3 linked regions of the Arabidopsis thaliana genome follow. The protein of the gene in region 2 interacts with the protein of the main gene of each other region in a pairwise test. Each region holds a gene or a part of one and is shown on either strand. Other genes may lie near its edges.

The links. Proteins that work in one complex are often made in the same cells at the same time.
Region 1: the proteins of Fes1C (region 2) and AT1G28135 interact in a two-hybrid assay, tested with the Arabidopsis thaliana proteins (one large-scale study listed by BioGRID).
Region 3: the proteins of Fes1C (region 2) and AT1G04930 interact in a two-hybrid assay, tested with the Arabidopsis thaliana proteins (one large-scale study listed by BioGRID).

What each region holds. Positions count from the first base shown.
Region 1 is NC_003070.9:9,827,526-9,830,084, reverse strand, and holds AT1G28135 (uncharacterized protein), read right to left. Parts: upstream 825-2,559; 5' UTR 754-824; coding exon 598-753; 3' UTR 501-597; downstream 1-500. Other genes in the region: GH3.17 (Auxin-responsive GH3 family protein), read right to left, coding at 2,202-2,559.
Region 2 is NC_003076.8:422,837-429,581, forward strand, and holds Fes1C (Fes1C), read right to left. Parts: upstream 3,543-6,745; 5' UTR 3,377-3,542; intron 3,281-3,376; exon of another isoform or gene 3,259-3,280; 5' UTR 3,233-3,258; coding exon 3,147-3,232; intron 2,954-3,146; exon of another isoform or gene 2,950-2,953; coding exon 2,807-2,949; intron 2,723-2,806; coding exon 2,672-2,722; intron 2,579-2,671; coding exon 2,357-2,578; intron 2,245-2,356; coding exon 2,142-2,244; intron 2,015-2,141; coding exon 1,645-2,014; downstream 1-1,644. Other genes in the region: AT5G02140 (Pathogenesis-related thaumatin superfamily protein), read left to right, coding at 548-602, 697-1,369, 1,445-1,601; AT5G02160 (uncharacterized protein), read left to right, coding at 3,556-3,803, 4,047-4,188; AT5G02170 (Transmembrane amino acid transporter family protein), read left to right, coding at 5,023-5,180, 5,277-5,548, 5,754-5,968, 6,058-6,081, 6,160-6,340, 6,423-6,642, 6,736-6,745.
Region 3 is NC_003070.9:1,395,791-1,400,694, reverse strand, and holds AT1G04930 (hydroxyproline-rich glycoprotein family protein), read left to right. Parts: upstream 1-1,641; 5' UTR 1,642-1,706; coding exon 1,707-2,255; intron 2,256-2,324; coding exon 2,325-2,414; intron 2,415-2,812; coding exon 2,813-2,865; intron 2,866-2,987; coding exon 2,988-3,027; intron 3,028-3,117; coding exon 3,118-3,198; intron 3,199-3,555; coding exon of another isoform or gene 3,556-3,567; exon of another isoform or gene 3,568-3,570; coding exon 3,571-3,684; intron 3,685-3,829; coding exon 3,830-3,909; intron 3,910-4,067; coding exon 4,068-4,149; 3' UTR 4,150-4,404; downstream 4,405-4,904. Other genes in the region: Tic20-I (translocon at the inner envelope membrane of chloroplasts 20), read right to left, coding at 79-716, 921-1,107; AT1G04945 (HIT-type Zinc finger family protein), read right to left, coding at 141-716, 921-1,107.

The sequences.
Region 1 (2,559 bases), on a different chromosome or scaffold from region 2:
GGGGTCTCGCTCTCTAATCAAAACTATTGTGGATAGATTCTTATCGAAGAAAAATGCATTATTCGAATCTGTCATTAAGTTGACAATACGTGTATATATTTCCAGACTTACATGCAATGAACAGTTTTATTTATTTATTTTATATACACTGAAACAGCAGGATTAGATGGGGTTGCAATGGTTTTGTGTTGGTAGCGAGACGAAAACGACAGCGTTTTTGTTCTGGAGAGCGATACGGAAAGTAACATGACAGGACAGTTGAGAGGAAACTCATCGTTTTCTCTTAAGTGAACAGTTAAGTTTGTTCCCTTTTTTCTTTTGCTTTAATATTTGGGGTCATAGATCTGTCTCTTTTACCCCATTTACTCTTTATAGCAACACATCCATCATATCCAACTCTTGTCGGTTACTTACTTCCACATTAACCATGCTTTGCTTTTATTTTACCATGCTTTCAATTCATTTCTTACGATGAATCTAGCTACGAGGGGTGGGTGGGCATATTAGCCACATTACCGTTTTGATTCGATCAAACTTTTGAATATCCGAAACTATGAGTGTGGATTACAAGTTGTTATACAAACAAAAACGCTATCGCTATTCGCTAGATCTAACTTTGGACGAGTGAGCTCTTTCACGCTTCCCTGGTTTTCTTGCCTGAGCCCTGGGTTTAGATTGTCGTGAGACATTTCGGTTCCTATCTACCGTTGGTGTTAAAGGGAGAACTGCGAGGAGCAACGTAATCAACTCCATTGGTTATTTTCCCCGGGAGAACACCTATAGCCCCAATAGAAAAATTGAATTCGGTAGCCAATCTGGTTCAAAATATATTTAACAGTATTGTTATTTAGATCAAAACCTATGTCATCTGTTTTTTTTGTTCATGATAGTTTCAAGAAAAATTTCTACAAATTTAATGTTTTTATAAAAATCAAATCATGGTAATATATCGATTTGTTTTAAAATATATTCATCCAATATCTTAACATAGGTTGTATATTGAAATTTTACGGCTATATATGTATGTCGACAGCCACATTCAAACAGACATTAAATGTAGTAATAGATATACGTTGGTAGTCCTACCAAATACTCATATAGTTAGTATATTTAATTTTAATTATGTCATTAAAACCACAATTTGAAAAGGTAGATTATGATGTGAAAATGAATAGCTGATATAAAGAATTTTGGTTTTTATTTTATATAATAATGATTTCATAAGACCACACATCGTTTATTGTTGTTCGAATATTCTTAAAATTTTATATTCTGCAGTTTACATTACAATACTATTCAGGCACATGGTTTTCTACTAATAATGAGTTAAACCTACTTTGAGCTGAAAACAAATCCAAGACTTGTTAAATGTCAACACTTGGAAGAAATTTGCTCCGAAAATCTTTATAGTTTCCATATTAAACAATGGTTTTGCATATATTAGTGAACTTATATTAAATTCATAACAAAACTTTTTGTGTGGTTTTAATCAACTTCAACACTTATTACATGTACAACTAGTACAAGTAACGATCATTTATATAAATTATTTTCAGGATTTTAGAAGAGAAAAAAGAAAGAAAAGTGAAAACTGTTGACGAGAGATAGAGTTGAGATTTATGCAAGAAAAAAAATAGAAATGATGTAAGAAAGAAATGTGGATCTCAATGATGTTGCTGTGTGTTGGCTGGCATATTAAACCATCACCATCTTCATGTGCATCTATACGTCACTCTTCACCTCTCTATCCAATTATTTCAATCTCCTCATTTTATTTTCATCTTTATCTTATACTAACGTAGATATATTGCAAAAGAGAACTTCGAAAGTTTCTCTTTTATAATATTTTTTCGGTCTTAAAATCTCTGTTTTTATTTTTCAGTTATGTTCGATTTATGTATACAATATGAATATATTACCATTCCTATGAAGAAAAAAAGAGATGAGCTAGATTTTATGTAAAGGGTTTGGTACGATTTTTTTTAATCTTTTCGAAAAAGAGAGGGAGACAAAGAATAATAAAGAAAGAGACACAAAAGTATACATTCACAAAATGAGAGGACTTTGCTGAAAGTTTGTTACAAAAGAGACAAAAGCTTAACAATTAAAAAAAGAAACACCAATTAGCAACTTAACAAATGAAGATCTTATACTTATAAAATCAAGACTTTAATCATACATTAAAGAAAAAGAAGTAAAGTCTAAGAATCTAAACCAAGTGGTTCCCATTGAGGAACTCTCTTACTGAAGAACCTCCCAATAACTCTGGAATCAAGAATCTCAAGAGCTCCTCCAGATTTAACACATCTTGGAGTCTTATACTGATTCAAAGATGATCCTTGTGAGACACAAAAATCCATTAACGAATCAAACGTGCCCAAACTCACCACTCTTATCTCCAATGGCCCAATCGACTTGTCCCTGTTCCTGCATCTCCTGTAGACGTAATCCAAACAATCCTCAACCTCAGAGCAACAATCCTCCATTGTCTTGTCGTCAAGCTTTGGTGGGTCATTGCTGTGACGTGGCTTTAGCTCCCAGAAGAGCACGTAATGCCCT
Region 2 (6,745 bases):
GGTGGTAACATTACGACATTATTACAAAAATTATAAAACTATATTCAAAAATATCAAATCAATTTCTAAGAATAATTAAAATGTTAGACAATGAGATTTTAGCTAGGTCTGAAAATTAGTTATGGATTGTAAAGTATAAACAAATTTGCCTTAAAGAAATGCAATGATGAAGAAATCTATGAGTGTTAATCTTTATCCAATAATAAACGTTTGAGAGACATATGAATCTTTCTCTTTTTCTTTAAATCCAACTTTAACCCATTCTTCATAGAAGAAGGCTCACGATCAAGCCTCCATATCTTTCTCTTTCCCACTAATCCCATGAAAGTCTCAGTTTATAAAACGTTAGCACTTGGCAGTTCCCTATACAACAATCCACTTCACCACACCAATATTAGTCTTGCAACCCAAGTTTCCACTTCTTCCTTCGACCACGACGTCCTCAACATATTCTTTATTAATATTCTCTTGAAAACAACCACAACACACACAAAAGCAAACTTTAGAAGTGATATATCCCCACACAACAACAACAACATCAACAACAATGACGAAATCTGCAACTCTATTCCTTCTCTTTCTCACTATCTCAGCCTTCACTGGTACGATATCTCTTCTCCTTCTCGATAATTTATGAAATGGGTTTTGTTTCTCGTTTTGATTCCTCTCAATAATAGTGACTTTGTTCTTTTGCAGATGGAGCTCAGCTTATAATAGTGAATAACTGCCAGGAGAGCATTTGGCCGGGAATTCTCGGCGGCGGAGGCCAAATCACACCAAGAAACGGCGGATTCCACATGGGAAGCGGCGAAGAAACCATCATAGACGTACCGGATAAATGGTCCGGTCGAATCTGGGGTAGACAAGGCTGCACCTTTAACCAAAACGGTAAAGGCTCATGCCAAACCGGAGACTGCAACGACGGCTCTATCAACTGCCAAGGAACCGGCGGTGTACCACCAGCAACCGTAGTAGAAATGACATTAGGCTCATCTTCCTCTCCGCTTCATTTCTACGACGTAAGTCTCGTCGACGGTTTCAATCTTCCGGTGTCGATGAAACCAATCGGCGGTGGAGTTGGATGTGGCGTTGCGGCTTGTGAAGTGAATTTGAACATTTGTTGTCCATCAGCTTTGGAAGTTAAGAGAGATGGGAAAGTGGTTGGTTGTAAAAGTGCTTGCTTGGCGATGCAATCGGCTAAGTATTGTTGCACCGGTGAATATGCGAATCCTCAGGCGTGTAAGCCGACTCTGTTCGCGAATCTGTTTAAAGCGATTTGTCCTAAAGCTTATAGTTATGCGTTTGATGATTCTAGTAGTTTGAATAAGTGTAGAGCTTCTCGTTATGTTATCACTTTCTGTCCTCCAAAGTGAGAGGCTTCTGATTTTTATGTTATGTTTATCATGCAGTAGCTTGATTTGGTACTTGTACGGTCTGTTTTTAGGTCATTGAATGAGAAACTGAGAAAATTTGAACTCAAAATAGAATCAAAATTTGGTCATTATACAGTGGTTACCATCCTTTTAACTAGTGTTCTAAAGACACAAGCTTTAGCTGGTGGGTCCAAAGACATAAAAGACGGTTTTAGTGCTTACTCATGATATAAGGAAGCACAGACGGTTTTGTCTCTTTGTATCTTTGTCTCTAAAGAGAAGAAGGTTCGTTGAAGATTGTGGTCCATAGTGAATCTAAGAGCTGCCTCTCCTCTTTAGCGGCTGATAGATCTTCTTGTGACATAAACAAGCTCATTGCTTTGACCCGGCTGATTGCTTTGATCCGATCTTTTAGAATCTGTCTGAGTCTCTCATCGCCTTTCACTATGCTAGAACCACAAGTACTACAGTCTTTTCTAGCTTTCACGAGCTCAAGCAATCCTCGAAGAGCAGCTTCTCTTACATCAGCATCGAAGCTAGACACGAGGTGCATCATCAAATGGTGAAGCCCGAATTCTATAGCAATATCGGAGTCTGAGTCATTCTCTTGTAGAAGATAATGCAACAAGTTTAAAGCTTTCCTGAAGAATGAGAAAGTAATGACAAAAGTTTTGAAAGTTAGACAACAGCAGAACAAAGGTTACAACTTTGTGTTCTCTCAAAGTTCAGAGGAATCCAAGCATGAAGAAAAGTGAAGAGTATTATTACCTTTGAAATCTCACACTATCAGTTTCCAAAGCATCTTTTAAACCAGAGTAACCATTTGCAATCCGGAAACCTGTGATCCCAGGTTTATTATTGCGAATCAAAGCTGTACCCCAAATTTACCACAATACATTCATCAGATTTACGATAGACATTTTTGTTTTTGAAAAAGGCATTCGACCATCTAAGTATATAGGATAGAACTCAGAGCAGCTTACATGATATTGCACCGAGAGCCTGTGTTCGAGAATGCATATCGGTGTCTGAAGTAAACCTTAAAAGCAAGGACTCTAAACCATTGGCTTCCATAACTGATTCTTGACTCCGAGGATTGTTCTCAACTATTGTGCTTACAACATCTGCAGACTTAGCCCGGATATTAGCATTGGAGTTTTTGAGGTAGCCAAGAAGAGGTACCAAGCCTCCAACGGAATGAAGATCTGCCCATACATTCAAAGAAGTACAAGTTAAGCCCAGCAATCAAAAGACAGATATAGAACAAAGTTACAAGGTCAAAGTATGAAAAGACTCACCATTAGCCATATCAATCGATTCAACATGTTCCTGCAACTCATCCAACAAACCTACCAAATCATCATAACTCAAAATCTTAGTAACCAACAAGAGAGAAAATAGCTAAGAAAACAATAGTGAACTCCATATTGAACCTTCAATATCTTGAGGGGTCACTTCATGAGCCTCCAAAACTTGTTGAGGTGTCTGCAATACCTGTGTAATCTCCTTCAACCGCTTGACTACATCTACCGTTTGTGATTGCATAGCTTCTGCAAACCATTTTCGATCCTCCTCACTGTCTAACCAAACAATTTCATATCATCAAAAACCATCTACCAAACAATACCAAATCAAATAGTCAAATTCCACTACATGATTCATTCCTCATAAGAAACTGACGCAGAACCACGCAAATTTCTAAAACAACCCAACAAACAACATAAGCTCCACTAAGTGACCAACAAAACCTGAAATTACAAAGAAACTTCGTACCTTAATTGGCAAGTAGGTCGAGTACCATCGGAGTGAGAGAGACTCCACTTAAGCAGACCGTCCCAGTTAGGTCCGTCTTTCGCCATTGAAGCAACGGAAGAAGAGAAAGACTCTGCGAAGGTCAGAGAGTCAGAGACAATGACAAATAGTTTGGGCCTTATGTTCACGCTAACTTAATAATGGGCTTAACAGGCCCAATTGTTAACTCGAAATATCTTGAAGGGGCCTACCTTATCCACACACAAAAGAAAACTGAAGAACCCCAAAAATCCCAAGTGAAAACGTTATCCACTTCGAGAGAGTGACACGTCACGAAGCAAATCCAAATTCAAAACCTTTCCATAAAAATCAAATCACTTCTTCTTATTACTTCCCCCAAATCGAAATCAGTCACTTAAAACCCTAAATTATGACGATCGCACCGGCATTGCAGACGACGTTCGTGTCATCAACCAACTTCCTGAAACATTCTTCTTCGTGGGGATCACCATCACCGAACAATGTGATTCTTCCCAAAAACAAGAGATCTTCTTCCTCCGTAGTTGTCGCCGCCGTCGGTGATGTCTCTTCTGACGGAACAATCTACTTAATCGGCGGAGCCATCGCCGTTGCACTCGTCGGAACTGCATTCCCGATCCTCTTCAAACGCAAAGACACGTAAACCACTCTCATCTTTTTACCTTGTGACTTAAACCGGTTTTAATGCTCGTTAAACCAAATTTTGACTGATCAATTGCAGATTATCATAGTTTATTGTCCGGTTCAACATTCGAATTATCTTAACCGGACTAAATCCTCTGTTATGGATTTTGAAAACGTACATAAACTCTTAGCCGATGTAGTAAACTGAATCAGAGATTGTACATTGTGAGTTTAAGCTCTGAAATGTGTGTGGTTTAGGTGTCCGGAATGTGACGGAGCAGGATTTGTGAGGAAAGGAGGAGTGACTCTGAGAGCCAACGCCGCACGGAAGGATCTTCCTCAGATCGTTTGTGCTAACTGCAATGGACTCGGAAAGCTTAACCAGATTGATAAATCATAAGTCTTCTTCATATATATGTAAAAAGCTCCATTTCTCATTCCTCTTCTTCTCTACAATATACCTCTGCAAAAGTAGATAGCTTGGAATGATCAATGGTTGCTTGGAGATGGGTGGATATATATATATATATATATATATACAATTGCTTTTTTATGTGTAAGTTTCTTTGCTTTCTTGTTCTGTAAGAAATTGTCTGAGTATTATTGTAAGTTTTTAAGCAGTTATAGACGAAGGTGCTCAGCTACCAAAATAAAACGAACAAAAAATAAATTTAACTGCTGCATAAGTAATTAGAGATGAACATTTAATGGCCAATTAATGACCCAACTGTCATTGGCTTCTTACATCACATGCATATCAACTAATCTTCATTACGTGTCTATTTCTGTGTTTTATAAATAACCTCGCCAGAAACGTTTTTATATTTTTTCAAGCAAATAGTATTATTGTATAAAAACTAAATTTTTTGTAAATGAACCTTACGCGTCAGAGTAGAAGATTCTTTGAATTGTTCTTGAAGTTTCTTAGATTTAGTAGTGATAGGATAATGGGACATTATTAAATTTATCTTATTGGTGGAATAATGGGAAAATCGTGAATTTGTTCATTAATACATTTAAATTATGGGGAAAAACAAATTCAGGGAGACATCATCATAGGTAAGGAGACTGCTAATTAAAGAATATAAAGAAACGTGACAATAATTTAGAACTTGAAAACAGAACACGTTTCGTTGCGTCCCCTAGTTGCTTCTTCTCAATCTTCTTCTTCTTCTTTTTAGACCTTTTGTTGGTTTTTGAAACAGAGCACAGTAGAAGAATACAAACAAAGTAGATGAAGCAAAACGAGACATTCGATCAAGAAAGGGAAGATTTGTATCACACGTTCGATGAGGAAGATGAAGAAAGCCAAACAGAGAGCTCCGTTCCCTCAACTCCTTTATCTCGTAACAGATCCGAAGACGTTCCCGTTCCGTGGCCTCGAAGTTATCGGTAAATCATTTTCTTTTTAAGTGCTCTGTTTTTGTAAGAGATCTGAAGAAATTATTCTTTAGAGAATAATTTTGGTGTTCTTGGGGATATTTTCAGACAATCTATGGATTTGTTGACTGGAGTTACACCTCCGACTAGTACAAGTTTTGTCTCTTCATTTCGCCAGAGACGACAAAGCTCTGTTTTCGGTTCGTTTACTTCTTCACCAAGCAAACAGCAACTTCTCATAGACAAAGACGAGATCCAAAGCTCTGTTGTGTCCTCCATCAAATCATTTCTTGCTTCTCATCTCCAGCTATCAGTCCCAGGGGATCTTTTAACTCCCCAAGAAAACCGCAGTTGCACATTCTCTCAATCCGTTCTCAACGGTAATAATTGCATTAGGAATGTTCAATCTGAGTTTTGGTTAGGTTTTCTCTGTTTTCCAAGATTAGTCAAATAATCAAACTGAAACCAAATCTGATATATATTGATGAACTGAGTTTACGTTTAGTATAGCATTAGTGCGAGAGTACTGAGTTTACGATTATCTTTTCTATTTAGATTGAGATTCTTAACATTCTCTTTTTGCAGGAATTAACGTTCTATGTGGAGTAGCTTTACTTACAATGCCTTACGCAGTTAAAGAAGGAGGATGGTTAGGGCTTTTCATACTCTTCTCCTTTGGCATTATCACTTTCTACACCGGCATTCTCCTCAAGAGATGTCTCGAGAACTCCCCTGGAATCCACACTTACCCGGACATCGGTCAAGCTGCATTCGGAACCACTGGACGCATCCTCGTCTCTGTAAGATTATTTTTCAAATAATCAATCTTAACTTTGTTTGTGTGTGAATTGTGATCCTAACTTAACTTGGGTTTGGAATTACATTTCAGATACTTCTCTACGTAGAGTTATACGTAAGTACCAAACTCTCTTTCATGTTTCATATCATGATTGAAGAAATTGAGGTCCTAACTTTGAATTTTTTTCTGTAGGCATCTTGTGTGGAATACATAATCATGATGAGTGATAATTTGTCAAGAATGTTCCCAAATACCTCCTTATACATCAACGGATTTTCTTTAGATTCTACTCAAGTTTTCGCCATTACCACGACTCTTATTGTTCTTCCTACTGTCTGGCTCAAAGACCTCAGCTTATTGTCCTATCTCTCAGGTTCATCTCGTAATTGGCACACACAACAATCTCTGAGATTTGAACTCTTTAATTAAATTTAAGAAATGTTTTGTTTCCTTAGCCGGAGGTGTCATCTCCTCAATCTTGCTTGCGCTTTGCCTCTTTTGGGCTGGATCAGTAGACGGGGTTGGATTTCACATAAGCGGACAAGCTCTTGATATAACTAACATACCTGTCGCAATCGGAATTTACGGGTTCGGTTTCGGGAGTCACTCTGTTTTCCCCAACATTTACTCATCCATGAAAGAACCTTCCAAGTTTCCTACGGTGCTTCTCATCAGGTAAAACAACTTTTGCTTATAGCGCAAGAAACCTCTAGGTCTAATTTTCATCACTTCTCATTTCATAAAATAATTGTTTGTTGCGTTATGTAGTTTTGCGTTT
Region 3 (4,904 bases), on a different chromosome or scaffold from region 2:
ATTGTAACAACAAAACAAGGACCTAATTAACAAAAAAAAAAAAAAAGAGGAGTCATAACGATCCAATGTTGTTTCTTCTTAGTCGTACGGAATCTGGATATAGGCAGCATCACAGACAAACGGGATGTCTGCGTACATACCCGCAAGTGCACACCGTATGCTTTCAAGGACGGTAAACAGATAAGCAAACGCAACAGCAGTCCAGAAATGCATCCCAAACTTACCCCAATAGACTCCAAGAGGCATCCACTTGCTAACGGTCCCTATAACCTGGAGTGCGATTTCAAGCAGCATACCCATCACTACATGGAACCTGAAGAAGTGAGGCCATTCTTTTCTTCGCACTATCCCTAGATAAGCTACAAAAAAGTAAGCCATGAGGAACCAGCTTGGTAATCTTCCTATGGCGCCTAGAAATGGGTAGGTTAAGAATTCAAAATCTTCTAGGAATGGGTGGAGATGGTAAGCGGTTTCTGCATACATCCAAGTTTCATGCAGTGGCATTAGGTAAGGCAGGCAAGCCAAAGTTCTCCACCACCATTGTGGCTTCTTGGTCATCGGGGGAAATCGGAAGCTAGAAGGTACATCTTTTGACGCTCGTGGAGTCAAAAGAGTTTTTCTGCGGACAGGTAACACAGGTAATGTACCAGATAGACTACCTTGTTCTCCATTCAGAAGCAGAGAAGACGAGGCTGAGAGATATGACAGAGGCACACCTAAAACAATCAAAGTATACAAGATTGAATTAGGAAACAAAAGCAGCACCTTTGAAATACCAAAGTCACTTATCCTAGTTTCAGCCCATGGACAGGTCTTTTAATATTCACATCATATAAACTCATTGGAGCAATTTACAGATATAAGCAGGGATATATGATAATAAGTGTTTGAAACCATATGAGTAGAAGAAATTCACATGCCTCTTGACACTCTCGGAAGCTCATTGAAAGGTGAAGGTGGTGATCCCCACGAGTTCTTTACGACAGGCAATGAACTTCGAGCAAGATAATGTTGAGTCTGTCCTGCTGCAGCTCTATATGATGATGACTTGAATGCCCGAGAGCTCATTAGAACATGTGCACTTGGCGTGCTGTATCCAGTTATCATCCTTACCAACTAAAATGCCTATACCAAAACAAACGAAACATGGGAAATCGAATTTGAACAGACGACTGTAGAAACAAAATCTCATCCGATAAATTTCAATTCCCATAAACATATTTCGGTACCCTAAACCAGAGATTGCTCAAGACCAGCTAGAACATTGCAAACCTACCCAAGCGCTTCGACTAATTAGAACCCATAAATCAAACAAAATCGATTCTTTTCATAAATCCATGAGATAATTTAGAGAGAAGAAGAAGTTACGAACCTTCACAAACAAGGAATGGTATAATCGAAGCTGGAGGTAAAAGAAGAAGAGTAGGGTTTATGGAGCATTCATCTGTACTTCATCATCTGAATCCTATCCTTCTTCACTCCCCCAATAAAGAAAAATGGCGATTACTCTCTCTTTCTCTCCCGTGTTTAAATTGACACTAATACCCTCAGGCCCAGATCGGCCCAAAACCTGAAAACCTCCCTATGAGTAAGAGGGTTCGCGCATTATTAAACCGTGACCAAATTTGAAACTTTTTTTTTTCTTTTTACTGTTTCCCCAAAAATTCTTTTGAAAATCGAATCGACAAATTCCTTCCGCCGTCGGAATGTCAATTCCCGATCCCAACTCCTCCGCATCTCTAACGGTGTCTCCGTCTCTATCCACCGCATCGGAAACTCCGGTAACACCAGTAAACACTGTTAGACCACCGCCGTCTCAGCCACCTCCTGCTCCGCCGCCACTACCGCCGCCGACTTACAGACCCATAGCTCCGCTTCGCCACCCTAATCCGTTCCAACAACAATCTGCTTATAGTAATAACCTCTACGCACATTCGATTCCGGTCAGACGCCAAATTCAAGATCCGTCAGCTGTTCTTTACCCGTTTGCTCTACCGGGTCGAGGGTTTTCAGCCCGACCTGTTCGAGGATTCGTCGCAGATCCTTCCGTGACGGCTGGTAATCTGAGTGGGTACCCTCCTCGCCCGAGTTTTACTTACGATCCTGGACCATATGAGCAGCGTCAAATGGAATCCTTGTTGCAGCAGTTTATAAGGGAGAGAAATCCTCAGATTCGTCCATTACCACGCCTTGGATTGGGTTCTCCTGTTGGGTTGGGTCCCATTAGAGCAAGTCCTCAATTTCTGCAACCGCGGGTGAGGTTTCTTAGATGAAGTCCTCAATTTCTGCTTGTCATGTTTCATTTGTTAATGCTTAGATTCTAGCTAAGTAGTGGAAAGATTAGTGGGGAAAATGCTCGAGATGATCCAAAGTTTCTTGATTGGAGTCTTAGTAGAACTGAATCTGACTGTACCGTGACTTAAGAATCATCTTGGTTAATATTGGATCCATTTTTGTCAGAGTGATTCTCATTCGAACTAATGCATGTAGTTCTAGAATTTTGATCGACTAGTCTAGTTATACAACAATGTGAGTTGTTGGACGTGTCTTTCATGGTTTTCTTATAAACCATGTGATAGTTAGTAATTGGATCTAGTTATCTTTCTATTTTGGTTCTTTGTCCTGCTATGTGCCTGCTTTACTCTGGTCTTGAAAATTCTCTTTTGTGGAATGAGGAAGACTTGAAAATGCTTTTATATCTTAGCAAATGTTAAGCTGTTCTTCTCTTAATAGTTGGTTTGCACCTACTTACTTTTGATTATTGCTCTTGCTCCAGTCACATTTTCTCATTTTCGTAAATTTTGGTACTTAGGTTGCCCCGCCCCCAACTTCAATTCTAGACACTAGCAGGAATAGAAAGGCCAGGTGAACATCAAATTTCTCTACTTTGATATTACCTTTCTTTTGGTTTCACTGAAAATATTATTTTAAAAAAAACTTGTTCAAGAGACTTAGTTGCCTTGCTGTTTCTTCTTCCTTGTTATTAGAAGCAAGGATGGGGCTCTTGCCGTTGTTAGAGGGAGAAAGGTAAGCCTACTATCATATGTACTGCTTGTTTGAGAATTTGGAAAAGACATCTGTTAAGTTTAGATTGTAATACTATTCAACTGTTTACAGGTCCGAATCACTGAGGGGTCTTCTTCTCTTTATTCACTTGGTCGATCGTGGTTGAAAAATGGTGCTCACGTTGGAATTCAGGTTCGCACTTTATATGCTGCTGTTAGAGTAGGATGTTAGTGTCATTGACGACTCCGCTTGATAAAAGATTCATCGGTTGTATTTTCAAGATATTGGTTTGTGGGGTTTTGATTCAGAAAACCTCTCAGAATGCCAAATTTACTCGAATTTGGAAACTAAATTACTTTTGATCACTCACCTATTTGCATCCGTGCTAGTTAGAGGATTCTTTCTTGATATAGTTATATTTTTAGAAGCCAATCTTAGTTAAATGATCTTCAATTGCATACTCAAAGCTTGTTATCTGCTTTGCAATGGAAATGTGCATCTGCAATCTCTTGAGCGTAACCATATATCTGGGACTAATCTAACTTTCAGTTTCTCTGTTGACAGCCGCAAAGGAGTGGTATAATGAAACCTTTGCCAAAACCGTTACCTGTGGATTTAACAACAGAGACAAGTGTACCAGATGATCCAGATGAAGAATCAGCGGATGAAGACAAAGAGGTTTGTGTTAAGTCTTCAAGAACCATTGATTCTATCTGAGCAGAACAGAAGACATTAGTCTGATTCTTTCCTGCTGTTGCTAATTTCAGCTCTTGAATATTTACTACATGACGTTTGATTCCACTCTTTTCTTTGATGATCTCAGGACGAGGAAGCTGTAAAGCAATTATCTGAGAAGGATCTTTTGAAAAGACACATCGAGCGAGCTAAGAAAGTCCGTGCACAGTAAGCTCCCCACTATTCTCTCTTTTTGCTCCTTAGGTCGTGTAGTATTTGAAAGATAAAGCTCCCCACAAGATTCATGGATTAGTTTTCATAATCATCAAAGCAAATCTAGCAGAATATTTTGGTAACTTGAAAAAGCGGATTTCTTTCTCTTTCAGATTACGAGAAGAACGGTCGAGGAGGATCAGGAGGTACAAAGAAAGAATAACTCTTATTCTGGCACAATCCGAAGACCGATGATGCTTGAAGAACGACTAAAAAAGGGTAAAGTTTTGTTAGGAATTAGCTTCATATGACTGTTGTTGATTTAGCATACTAGTACCACGTAACAACATACGTGTAGTAATAGTATAGGTGTGTTCTTCTTCGTCTTCTATAGATTAGTAGGACTACTCAATGAATAGTGTTTCATTCTTCCTAAAACTAAAGAGGAAGATAAAATTGTTTCCTTAAAGTCAGCTTTTACTAATTTGACAATAAAAATTTCTTCTCTTACACATGTGTCAATCAGCGAAGTGGTAATAAATAAACTTTACTGTCATTCGACTAATTGTAACTTTATAAACAAGATTTGAGAAAAATTGAGATTTTGTAGTAAATAGGTGGAAGTCTCTAATTGGATTAGAGGCTTTTCGAGAGAGAATCGCATAGGGAAGCGGACAGAGAAGATAACAAACGCTCATATTTAAACTCTCTTTCCGTTACATTTGCCACGTAATTACAACAAACACGTGTCATCGCCGCTAAGAACTAATTTTTGTCATTGCTCCACACATGCAACTACTAAACTACCGATGATCTCTCTCGCTCACGTTTAATCCGCCATTTCTGTAAAATCCTCTTCCCTTTTCTGAAGTAAACTTTTTCCCGCAATCAACTCTTGCTTTCTATTTTTCTCGATTGTTTACACTTTTCATTTTCAGCTCTCTGTTTCTTTCTTTCACACTAACCCCAATTCTAGTTTCTTACTCTCCAAGAAACAAAGAGCACCGATC